3 linked regions of the Rattus norvegicus genome follow. The protein of the gene in region 1 interacts with the protein of each later gene in a pairwise test. Links are inferred from orthologs where the notes say so. Each region holds a gene or a part of one and is shown in the gene's direction. Other genes may lie near its edges.

Region 1 (4,108 bases):
TAATAATATGTAGCCCTTTCTTTGCGACAGGAATTGCTCTATGTACTTGACATGCTCGGAAAGATAGGTAACTGGTACACGTGCATCAGCAGACATCCAGAGATACCACTTCTACCTAAACTATCAGCTGTTAGAAGAGTTCTCTGTTTACTAACAGATATAAACAGCTCTGAGGAGAGGGACGTAGTGTAGCTCAGTGGCAGAGAAGGCTTGCCTGCCCAGTACAAATCTCTGCCTCCTGAGTTCAGTCCTGGAGGGCAAACGGCATTCCTACCTGAGCCACAGTGTTTACAAGCAACACTATAAAATAAAGGGTTTACAAGTTAGTTCAAGTCCGGACTCTATCATCTACACCTAGGGCTGCAAGGAAATTAAACCTCGTATAAGAAACATTCCACTAGGAAGAATGCAATTTCCACGACGGCAGGTTGTACTCCAGTGTCAAGAACCCGACCTGCCACAAAGGTAAGGGTAACTTTCCAGTGGTCCCGCTTGCAGTCCAACATGGCTTTACCAAAATCCAGAGGATCCCAGACAATTTAACACTCCCGATGCCGGCTAACCTCAATGCTAGGGACTGGTTCCTAACCTGCCTATCGCCCTCTCTCAGGGGACCTCCCCCAACCCAGCAGAAATCACCTATCCTGGAGATAGACACTCAGCCCACAACTTCTGAGCCCTAAATCCTGACACCCGAAGACAACGAGGTTCAGAAGAGAGGAATCCACTGGAGCCCTGGTCCGTCCCTCCCGCCACGCGGCTTCTACAGATGCAAGTCCAGCACGCAGTGCCTGGCAGCCACCACAGAAGGGAGCCAGGCTCCCTTCGGAGGCGCGGGGAATAGGAGTAGCTGTGCTTTTGGCTTGCACTTGAGGACTCTTACCTGGTCCCAGAGGGGATGCAGCCCGCGACAGCCACCAGACGAAGCTGACTAGGAAAGCAGAACTGAAGTGTCGCGGCTAGGCCCGGGAACCACCCCCTCGCCCTACGCCCACCTTTCCGACCAATCACAGGCCACAGGCTCCGGCCAGCCACGTGGGCGGTTTTGCACCTCCCGCAGGCCCGCTCGCCAGCTCGCCCCGCCCTCCCGCCACTCCCGAGACCGCCTGCGCAATGGGCGGGTGCTTTGGCGCGCTTGCGCACTTTGGGTAGAGAGGAGCAGAACCCCGCCCCATCCCGCTGCTCTGCTCCTTCGCTGTGCGTGCGAGGGACGTCAGGGGCGGCGCCGCAGCAGTTACCCCTGGTAACGGGGGAGGCAGGAGGAGGAGGCGGAGGAGGAGGAGGAGGAGGAGGAGGAGGAGGGACTCGGCTTGAGGATGGTGAGTGTGGGGGCCCCGGCCCTTCAGAGCTGACCAGTCACCCCCCCCTCCTGTCCCCAGGCCCAGGGCGGGGCGCTGCTCTTAAAGCGGAGGAGGACGTGGGATGGAGCTCGCCTTGCTCTTTCGGGTTCTAGATCGGTTTCAGGGGCGAAGGAGGAGCCCCTAAAGTGGGCCTGGAGGGAGGCCTAGGCCTAGGGAGAAAGGAGGGGTTTGCGATGGATCCGAGGCGTGGAGAGGGTACTTTAGTGCTTCTCTGGCGGGGATGAAGCCTAGCACCATCATCTTTCTGGGATGAAGGCGGCTCTGGAACTGCGGAGATCAGGCCGGGCTCACAGGCTTAGATCATACTGCAGAGCCGACCTCTCGGAGCCTCGGGACTGTGGGGTCCATCTGAGACCCGGCCAAAAGTGGGAGAGGCGCAGCGCTACGGTCTTTGAGATCACCCTCGTGGCACCAGGGAGCTGTAACCTAGTTTTCCTTTCCTAGATGCTCGCGTCTCTGAGTGAGAGAGGTGTGTAGGGAGTAAGTCCCAGGACAATAAGAGGTACCGCTGGAGATGAATGTCCCTGTGGTAGGTGCGCTCCTGCAGTCCCAACTTAGTCGCTGAAAGTTCTGCGAAGGTCTAATGGTTGTTGACGACCGATTTTTCGTTCCGTATTTATTCCATGTTGATAGAAGCAAATGGTCTTCGCCTCAAATGAGAAATAGAGAGTGAGCATCAATTTGAAACAAGCCTGTTCTCCGTTAGCCATAATTAAGGCCTTTCCAAAGTGTAAGTTAGGGTGTGTGACAGATTTGACGGGAGACACTCAGTTCCTTGTTGATTTTTTTTAAATTATTATTTTATTTACATGTGTACCAGTGTTTACCCTGTGTGTATGTTTGTGCACCACGTGTGTGCCTGGTTCCTGCAGAGGCCAGAAGAGGGCTTTGATGGAGCTGGAGTTATGGATGTCTGGGAACCGTCATGTGGGGACTGAACATCATGAGCGTTACTGAACATCTATCTGCCCTCCTTGTTAATTTTATACGCGGTAGATGGAGTAAAAACGAAGTTACGGGGAAATTAATATTTTTAGAGCTAGTCAAAGAAAACTTGATTTTAAAGCACTTAGTTTTTTTTTGTTTGTTTGTTTGTTTGTTTTTCGGAGCTGGGGACCGAACCCAGGACCTTGCACTTGCTAGGCAAGCGCTCTACCGCTGAGCCAAATCCCCAACCCCGATTTTAAAACACTTAGAACAGGTTGGTTGGCTTACTAAAGCTCAGAGCCAGTTACTGTTGCTTCTCTCATACACCACATTATTTTTGTAAAAATTTGGGGCCGCTTCTGTTGACTTAAGCCTAGTACTAGGGGTATAGCTTACTGGGTAGAGGTTTGCTTAGCAAGCATGAAGTCCTGAGTAAAACCATAGATGGGCAGGGGCTAAATTACACATCTGTTTTGGTATAATTATTGATCGAGTAAATTTTGACCAAAAAAATTTACAATGTCAAATTATTTAGTAGAATTATTTAATCTTAGGTTGTCAATCACACTTCATGCTTGTTACATTTACAGTTATTTCTAACCTCAGGCTAAACAGATTTTAACAAGCATTTTCTTTTTATTATTTACATATGAGCTGCCCATTTAAAGGCTGGGATTGTCTTAACAAATGAGTGCAGATATAAATATTTACACAGAAAATAAACAGATTTGAGAAAGGGGCCCTGCAACCCCTGTAACCTCAGCACTTGGGAGGTAGAAGGAGGAGCAGGAATTCAAGACCAGCCTGGGCTACATAAGACTCTGTTTCGTAATGAGTAGGTAATTTTTAAATTAATGGAAATAATTAGAACTGCAATTAAAAGACCTTGCCAGGATGTGTGTGGTGGCTCCTGCCTGTAATCCCAGTCCTCTCCATGTTAAATTAAGAGGATCACCATGAGTTAAGAGGCCAACCTGGACTACAGTTTCAGGTCGGCCTCAGCTAGATGGAGACCCTGCCCCAACAGCCATCCCCTTAAAAGAAAGAAACACATGCCAAACCAGGAGAAAATAAATGAGAAACAGTTTACTAACTTTCTTCAGTTTTTCAATTAAGTAGAGTACATAATTTTATGACTGCTTAATTTATAATTATAGGTCACAGTAAATGAACCACTGCTTGTGTTTCTAGGTGCAAATTGGCACTGTATTTAAGTATATAACAAATTGACCGTGTATATACAGATAAATATATATATATATATACACACACATATATATATATATATATATATCTTAGTGTTTTGACTGCAAACATGTATGTACACCGTAGGCATGTCTTGTGTCCAAGGAGGCCAGAAGAGGGCATTGCATCCACTGAAGCTACAGTCAGTTTTGAGCCACGGTGTGGGTGTTGAGAACTGAACTCCAGTTCTCTACAAGAGCAGTGAGTGCTTTTTTTTTTTTTCTATGTTGAATATTTTGTCTACCTGTACATATATATACCACATGAATCCCTCATGCCTTCAGAAATTAGGAGAGGGCTTCGAATCCTTTGGAACTAGAGTTACAGGCAGTTGTGAGCCACCTTGTAGAGGCTGGGAATAAGACCTGGGTCCTCTGTAAAAGCAACAAGTGCTCTTAACCACTGAGCCTTCTCTCCAGTCCAAAACAATTTTTTAAAAAAACTATTGGATTTATTAATTTTATTTGATCTGTCTTTTGCCTGCCTGTATGTGTGTGCACCACATAATACTTGCCGCCTTCAGAGGAGAACACCAGAACCCTGGGCGCTGGGTTACTGCTGTGTGGGTGCTAGGA
Region 2 (3,500 bases), on another chromosome or scaffold:
CCTCCTCTCTCTCCCCGACCTCCTCTCCCCCGATATCTCTCTCTCTCTCTCTCTCTCTCTCTCTCTCTCTCTCTCTCTCTCCCCAGCCCGTGTGCCCAAGAAAATTCTCAAGTGCAAGGCAGTGTCTCGAGAACTGAATTTTTCTTCAGCAGAGCAAATGGAAAAATTCCGCCTTGAACAAAAAGTTTTTTTCAAAGGACAATGCCTAGAAGGTATTCTATTCCTCGAGTGCCTGGAGCCGGAGTGCAGGAGGGGGGTAGGAGTAGGGGGGGGGGGCAACAGGCAGGGCAGTGCTCTGAGAACACTGACCTTATTACTAATAGAAGGTCTACAACACTGGGGAACCCCAGTGAAAACGAACCAAAACAAACTGGACACAATGGGGGCTTTGAGCTGTCTGACACCAGAAGCTCGAGTGCCCATGCCCGTGCCCGTGCCCGTGCCCGTGCCTAATGTGCTGTTACAATGTGATCTTGGAAGAAGCAATTACAATGAAGTGTAGTATAGGTCATGCCTATACATCAGAAGTCGTTACTGATAAGGACTCTGAATTCGATTCTCAAAATGTAAGAGAACAACATGTAGGCACTGTAGAGCGACCTACCTCTGTTAGTGCAGAGCTTGCTACTCCTAGGAAAATGATGCTTATGTGTCCTCCTCACTGATGCTTATCTATTAGACCCCATAAGAGACAGTCCTGTGTGCCCTAGGTGTAGTGGTGCACGCCTTTAATCCCAACACTCAGGAGGTAGAAGGAGGTGGATCTCTGTGAGTTTGAGGCCACCCTGGTCCACAAGTGAGTACCAGGACAGCCAGGGCTACACAGAGAAACCCTGTAGAAAGGAAGGAAGGAAGGAAGGAAGGAAGGAAGGAAGGAAGGAAGGAAGGAAGGAAGCCATTCTGTGGCACAAATCAGAAGATAGGCTGTGAATGTCCTGTGTCCTTTTGTGTGCCTTAGGAGCTATCTGATAGGTTCCTGTCATGGTCTGGACAGGAAGAGCCCACATTAATGGAGAGAGACACAGCCTGGGGTTCCCCCGTGCCCACAGATAGCGCCTGCTCACTGGCTTTTCCTTCTTCCCTTCAGAGTGGTTCTTCGAGTTTGGCTTTGTGATCCCTAACTCCACAAACACCTGGCAGTCCTTGATAGAAGCAGCGCCTGAGTCCCAGATGATGCCCGCCAGCGTCCTGACGTGAGTGAGGCCCAGGAGATTTCAAAGTGTATCCCAGAACAGCCTTTAGACAGCAGGGACTCCAGGTCCCACTCGCAGGCAGAGCTGGGAAGAAAGATGAGTAAAAGAGCACCCAGTGGTGTGTCAAGGTCGCTGGCTTCTGTCCTGTGAAAAGTAACGGCCTCAAAAACTGTAGGCCACATTTTAAATTTCCAGGTCACTCTGACTACTTGTCTCCTTGGACAATAATGTCTTATCTTGCCTTGCCTTACTTTCATGGGTATAATGAAGGTGAAAAATGAGACAGTGTGGAAGGGAACTGGCACAAAATAAACAATAACCCACAAAGGGATTAGGTGTGGCCACAATATTCCACTTTATAAGTGGAAGCACTGGGTTGGGGATTTGGCTCAGTGGTAGAGCGCTGGCCTAGCAAGCGCAAGGCCCTGGGTTCGGTCCCCAGCTCTGAAAAAAAAAAAAAAAAATAAGTGGAAGCACTGCTCTGCCATTTATGGCTCAGTGGGAGTGTTCTTGCCTGGCATGCACAGGGCCTACGCTCAGTTTCTGGCACAGCCAGAAAAAGAAAAAGGAAACAGAATGGGCCACTGAGATAACCATATAACCAGAAAAGTAAACCCCGTCCTCACTGTACAGGTGCCTCATTTAAGGCTCTTTGGTTTCAAACAACAGAATCAAATCCTCGGGAATAGAACTATTAGACTAAGCAGAGACCCAAGCAGCTTGGAATGGACAAGGGCAAGAATCCATTATGCCTTCCTCAAGGAGTAACTGAGGAGAGATGTTGGGGGTGTGGGGGTGTGGATCTGATTAGCATGACTAGAATGCTGTGACACCTCACATCTCAGCAGGGTTGTGGGTAGTCACTCAGCTGACCCAGGCACTAGAAGAGAGACTGTTCACAAAGGAAGAGCAGGGTGCCACTACCCAAAATCAGGAGAGTACTGCAGGGCAGGCCACACCCAACTTACTCAGTGTTGTAGGAAAGGCTGCCTTCCTGAGGTCAGCCCAGGATCTGCAGCCATCCATTAGGAAGCAAGCCAGAGGTGTCCATGAGATCTGTAAGCAGAGCACGCCGCAGACATTAGTGCGCCGAGACAAAAGGCACGTTCTTATTTCTGACTTTCTCCATTAGGAGAACAAACAGGAGTTTAACACTGCAAGACTCTAACTCAGATAGACGATACTTTAATTGTATTTGCCTTGCTTTGGTTCTCTTTTTTTTTTTTTTTTTCTTTTTTTCGGAACTGGGGACCGAACCCAGGGCCTTGCGATTGCTAAGCAAGTGCTCTACCACTGAGCTAAATCCCCAACCCCCTGGTTCTCTTTTGAGACAGGGTCTCACTTTGCAGCCCTGGCTGGCCTGGAACTTACCATATAGACCAGGTTGGCCTGGGATCACAGAGATTCGCTTGCCTCTTCCTCTCTAGTGCTGGGACTAACGGTGTGCACCACTGTGCCTGACGTTTGTTCCCCTTGTGAGATAGAACTCACTGTATAGCACAGAGTAACCTTGAACTCAGACCCTCCTGCCTTGGCCTTGGGGAGGGTTATGTGTGTACACCACCACACCTGGTTCTGGACAAGGCCTGTAATGGCCCAAGCTGAGGTTCTAGGTGGACATGTGCCCAGCCCAAAGCACCCAAATGGACACTGACTGTGGACAGGGGGCCTTGGCCTGTGGCACTCACTTTCTTTACCCTCTCGCTTCTCTCCCCCAGGGGCAACGTCATCATAGAGACAAAGTTCTTTGACGATGATCTTCTTGTCAGCACATCCAAAGTGAGGCTTTTCTACGTTTGAGAGAACTTGTGTGCACTTCCAAGAATCTGGAACAGGGGCAGGAGGAAGCTGTACTTGTTCCTCTGCACATTTGATTTTGATACTCCAGCTGATTCCTTCAACACAGAACCCACCTGTGGCACCAGGAAGCCAGCTCTGAAAGGCGGCCAGTCGGCTTTTCTCCCAAACCTCCATCGTCACTGACAAGACTAAACTCCCAACCCCAGCCAAGGGCAGGGAATAAGCCTCAACTCCTTCCTGGTGCAAACATGGGAACAAACCCCGTACTCGGAGCCACACTGCGCCTGTCACCTGCCCTGCCTCCTCCCTTGGGCCCTATAGGCTTTCTTTGGCCTCTGGTTTTGAAAAAAATTTACCTTTCTGACCCATTTAGTTTTTTTCCTACCACTTCTATTTCATACATTCTCATACCTTTAACTTGTAAAATAGACTATGATATTATTATTACATAATGTAATGAAAGCATTAAACTATTCCTACAGTCTTTAGCATGCCACTGTTTCCAAC
Region 3 (3,500 bases), on another chromosome or scaffold:
TTTTTATTAAATAATTTATTTAATGTATATGAGCACACTAACTGTCTTCAGACACACCAGAAGAGAGCATCGGATCCCATTACAGATGGTTGTGAGCCACCATGTGGTTGCTGGGATTTGAACTCAGGACCTCTGGAAGAGCAGTCAGTGCTTTTAACCACTGAGCCAGCTCTCTAGCCCTCTTCATTTTCTTTTGTTGTAATTGTTGTTGTTTAGTTTTTGGGTTGTCTTTGATATTATCGTTATCTTTTGAGACAGGGTTTCTCTGTGTAGCCCTGGCTGTCCTGGAACTTACTCTGTAGACCAGGATGACTTCAAACTGACAGATCCATTCTCCTGGAATGGATCACTATATACAGCTTGGATCAACTGGATCTCATGGAGTCGTCTCCTCAACTGAGGCTCCTTCCTCTCTGATGTCTCTAGCTTGTGTCAAGTTATACACAAAACCAGCCACTACTATATTCTTGATGTGTCTTGACGGTTGGTTTGGTATCGAGAGTTTTGTGTTTAGGGTCTAAGGTCCGGGCAAGCCTTGTTCTTCCTTGCCTTCTGGCCTCAGGCTCCCAAGCTCTAGGACTGCAGACGTGAGCTACGATAGTCTCCTGTTCCCTTGCTTTCTTAGTTCTGATTTCCAGATCCCTTTGGGCATCTTCCCACTCTACTAAGTGGTCAGCAGGCAGTAACAAATCCAAATTTGAAGACAAACAGAAGATGAAAACTAAATGTGGCAGCTTCTCAGCTTTTCCTAGCAACTGGAAAAAGACCTGTTGTTTTGTTTTGAGGTGTGTGGCTTAACCTAGATTAGTCTGAAAAATCACCTTTATAGAGTCTGACTCCAATCCTAGGTCTCTCCAGAAGCCCTCTCCTGAGGAGTTCTCCGTTGTTTTGCCCACTGTAGATATCCCACCTATCATGGAGAAATGGGCTTAATTAATTCTGGGTCACTTTTGAAGATTTTCTTTTAGTTGTAGAAATGCTAGTTGGCTCAGGATTGTCAGAATTCCCTACTTCTTGACCTTGAGTGTTTACTGTGAATTTCTACCTGAAGTCTCCTCTGAATTCACCTGGCAAGCCAGGGGACAGACACCGCATTCATCTTTATGCTCCAGATGAGAAGATTGGGATCTACAGAAGTAGTCACTTGTCCAAGGTCATACAAAGTACATGGCTGAGGAAGGGTTTGAACCCGGGGTAGTCTGGCCTCTTACAGACCCCACCCTTTAACCCACTATGCAGTTTTCACTGGTGCTGCTAAAATGATATTAAAATAGGAGGAAGGGGGACAGCAAGGTGGCTCACAAGCCTAACGGCCAAGTTTAATCTGTGAGACCCACATGGTAGAGGGAAAGAATCTACGCCCATCCTTTGGATGGGTACCATGGCTCATGCATGAATCCCAACATGCTGGAGGAGCCCTTTGAATTCCCAGCCAGCCTGAAATTCCATAGCAAGCTTCAGGCCAGTCAGCTGCACAGTGAGACCCTGTCTCAAAATAAATATGTAGCTTAAAAAGGGTGGTCAATAAGGTGGCTCAGTGGGTAATGTGCTGCTGCCCAGCCTGACGACCTGAATTCAGTTCCAAGCCCTTGTATGTGGACAGTAGAAGGAAAGAACCCCCTACAGGTTTTCCTCCCACCTCTGGCCTCATGCCATGACCAAGCAGGTGCACGTATGCACATTAAAAATGAATAAATGAAAATGTAATTTAAAGAGAAAAAAACTAGGGATGCAGGGTTTCTTGCCATTGTAGTCTCCCAATTTGAGAACTGATCTTTGGTGTACACAGTAAATGGGTGTGTTAAAGAGATCCCAGGTAACTCTTTGTGGGATTGCAGGTATCCTGTTCCGATAGATTATGGCCTCTCCCTCCCCCTCCCCCCCTTCTCCCCCTCCCCCTCCCCCCTCCCTGTATGTGTGTATATGTGGGTGTGTTTGGGTTGTTTGTTGCTTTTTTTCAGTTTTGTTTGAAACAAGGTTTCTCTATGTAACCCTGTCTACCCTGGGTTTTTTTTTGCTCTGTAGACCAGACTAGTTTCATACTCCGGTTAGCCTGCCTCTGCCTCCTGAGTGCCCAGGCTGTGACCCCAGCTCTCAGAGTCGGAAGGATGGCTACAAGTCCAACACTAGCCTGGTCTACAGAGTGAATTCCAGGTCAACCAAGCATATGGATTTATGGAGATCCTATCCCAAAAACTAAAAATAAAATAGTCGCAAAGACTTATAAGCCAGCAAAGTGCTTATTTTAAAAGGTTTATGCTGTACATTGTAGGTATATTTTACTACATTGTAAATGCATTTACTAAACTGTACCAGATGCTGAGTTCCAGCTACTGCAGAGAAGCTTCATGGACAAGTACTACCAGGAATTTGAAGACACTGAAGAGAATAAGCTCACCTATACTCCCATTTTTAATGAATATGTAAGTAGATCTGTTTCTCCTGCCAGAAAATTAAAGTTTCTCTTAAAATCTGAACTTAGATCTGTTATGTATAATTAATATATACTATTAAAATGTTTACATTCATATCAAAAAAGTTGCAAAGCCTGGTGGCACCTGTAGCCACCTGCCACTAGCACTCAAGAGGCTGAGGCAGAAGTATGGCCACAAGTTAGAAACCTGCCCAGGCTACCTCGTAAACTTCAAGTTAGCTTAGGTCGTTTAGCAAGATTATTTCTTTTAAAAAAGAAAAAAACAAATTGAAATTAGTTTACTCTTTATATATGCCAGTACTGCCAAGGGAATGCAGATTAGAATCTGGTTTGGATCATTTTCTCTTGCCAGATCTTAGAACTCTTTTTTTTTTTTTTAAGATTTATTTATTTATTTATTCATTTATTTATTATAAATACACTGTAGCTATCTCCAGACACCAGAAGAGGGCATCAGATCTCATTACAGATGATTGTGAGCCACCATGTGGTTGCCGGGATTTGAACTCAGGACCTCTGGAAGAGAAGTCATTGTTCTTAACAACTGAGCCATCTCTCCAGCCCCTTGGGGCTCTTTTCTAAAGGGTTTTCATGAAGTAGTCGGTGAGCGTACAGCTTGTGGTTTAAAACAAACCGGCCTTTACCGCAGTCTTGTCCTGCACTGGGAGACTTTGCATTTGTCTGCTGTGACAAAGCAGTGCCAGTGAGATGGCCAATGGGTAAAGCTCAAGATGAGGAAGGGAACTGGTTCCATAGGAGTTGTCCTTTGACATCCACATGCACACGGTGGCACATACATGCCCACTCACATACATCGTGTCCTCAATAATGATAAATCAAATAAAAACACGGGGCTGGGCAGATGGCTCCCAGAGGACTGCAGAGCGGCTCAGCACCTACATCCAGTGACTCTCAGCCCCCTATAAATCTAGCTCCAGAGGATCCAACACCCCCTTCTGGCCTCTGCAGCCATCTGCACTCATGGTGTATGTGCAAGCATGTGTGTGTGCGCACGCGCACACACCACAGGACCTCGGCTAATGACCAGAGGGCCCACCTCCCTGTC

Evidence for each region.
Region 2: the proteins of Arl3 (region 1) and Pde6d interact in binary tests that used the Homo sapiens proteins (3 or more experiments, as listed by UniProt). The link is inferred for Rattus norvegicus from reciprocal best matches to the Homo sapiens genes ARL3 and PDE6D.
Region 3: the proteins of Arl3 (region 1) and Arl2bp interact in binary tests that used the Homo sapiens proteins (3 or more experiments, as listed by UniProt). The link is inferred for Rattus norvegicus from reciprocal best matches to the Homo sapiens genes ARL3 and ARL2BP.

Annotation. Positions count from the first base shown.
Region 1 is NC_086019.1:255,385,288-255,389,395, reverse strand, and holds the start of Arl3 (ADP-ribosylation factor-like protein 3), read left to right. Parts: upstream 1-1,308; 5' UTR 1,309-1,316; coding exon 1,317-1,319; intron 1,320-1,807; exon of another isoform or gene 1,808-1,875; coding exon of another isoform or gene 1,876-1,890; intron 1,891-4,108. UniProt on the Homo sapiens protein: Small GTP-binding protein which cycles between an inactive GDP-bound and an active GTP-bound form, and the rate of cycling is regulated by guanine nucleotide exchange factors (GEF) and GTPase-activating proteins (GAP).
Region 2 is NC_086027.1:94,640,919-94,644,418, reverse strand, and holds the end of Pde6d (retinal rod rhodopsin-sensitive cGMP 3',5'-cyclic phosphodiesterase subunit delta), read left to right. Parts: intron 1-86; coding exon 87-212; intron 213-1,087; coding exon 1,088-1,193; intron 1,194-2,911; coding exon 2,912-2,993; 3' UTR 2,994-3,487; downstream 3,488-3,500. UniProt on the Homo sapiens protein: Promotes the release of prenylated target proteins from cellular membranes. Modulates the activity of prenylated or palmitoylated Ras family members by regulating their subcellular location.
Region 3 is NC_086037.1:10,345,938-10,349,437, reverse strand, and holds part of Arl2bp (ADP-ribosylation factor-like protein 2-binding protein), read left to right. Parts: intron 1-2,272; exon of another isoform or gene 2,273-2,316; coding exon 2,317-2,423; intron 2,424-3,500. UniProt on the Homo sapiens protein: Together with ARL2, plays a role in the nuclear translocation, retention and transcriptional activity of STAT3. May play a role as an effector of ARL2.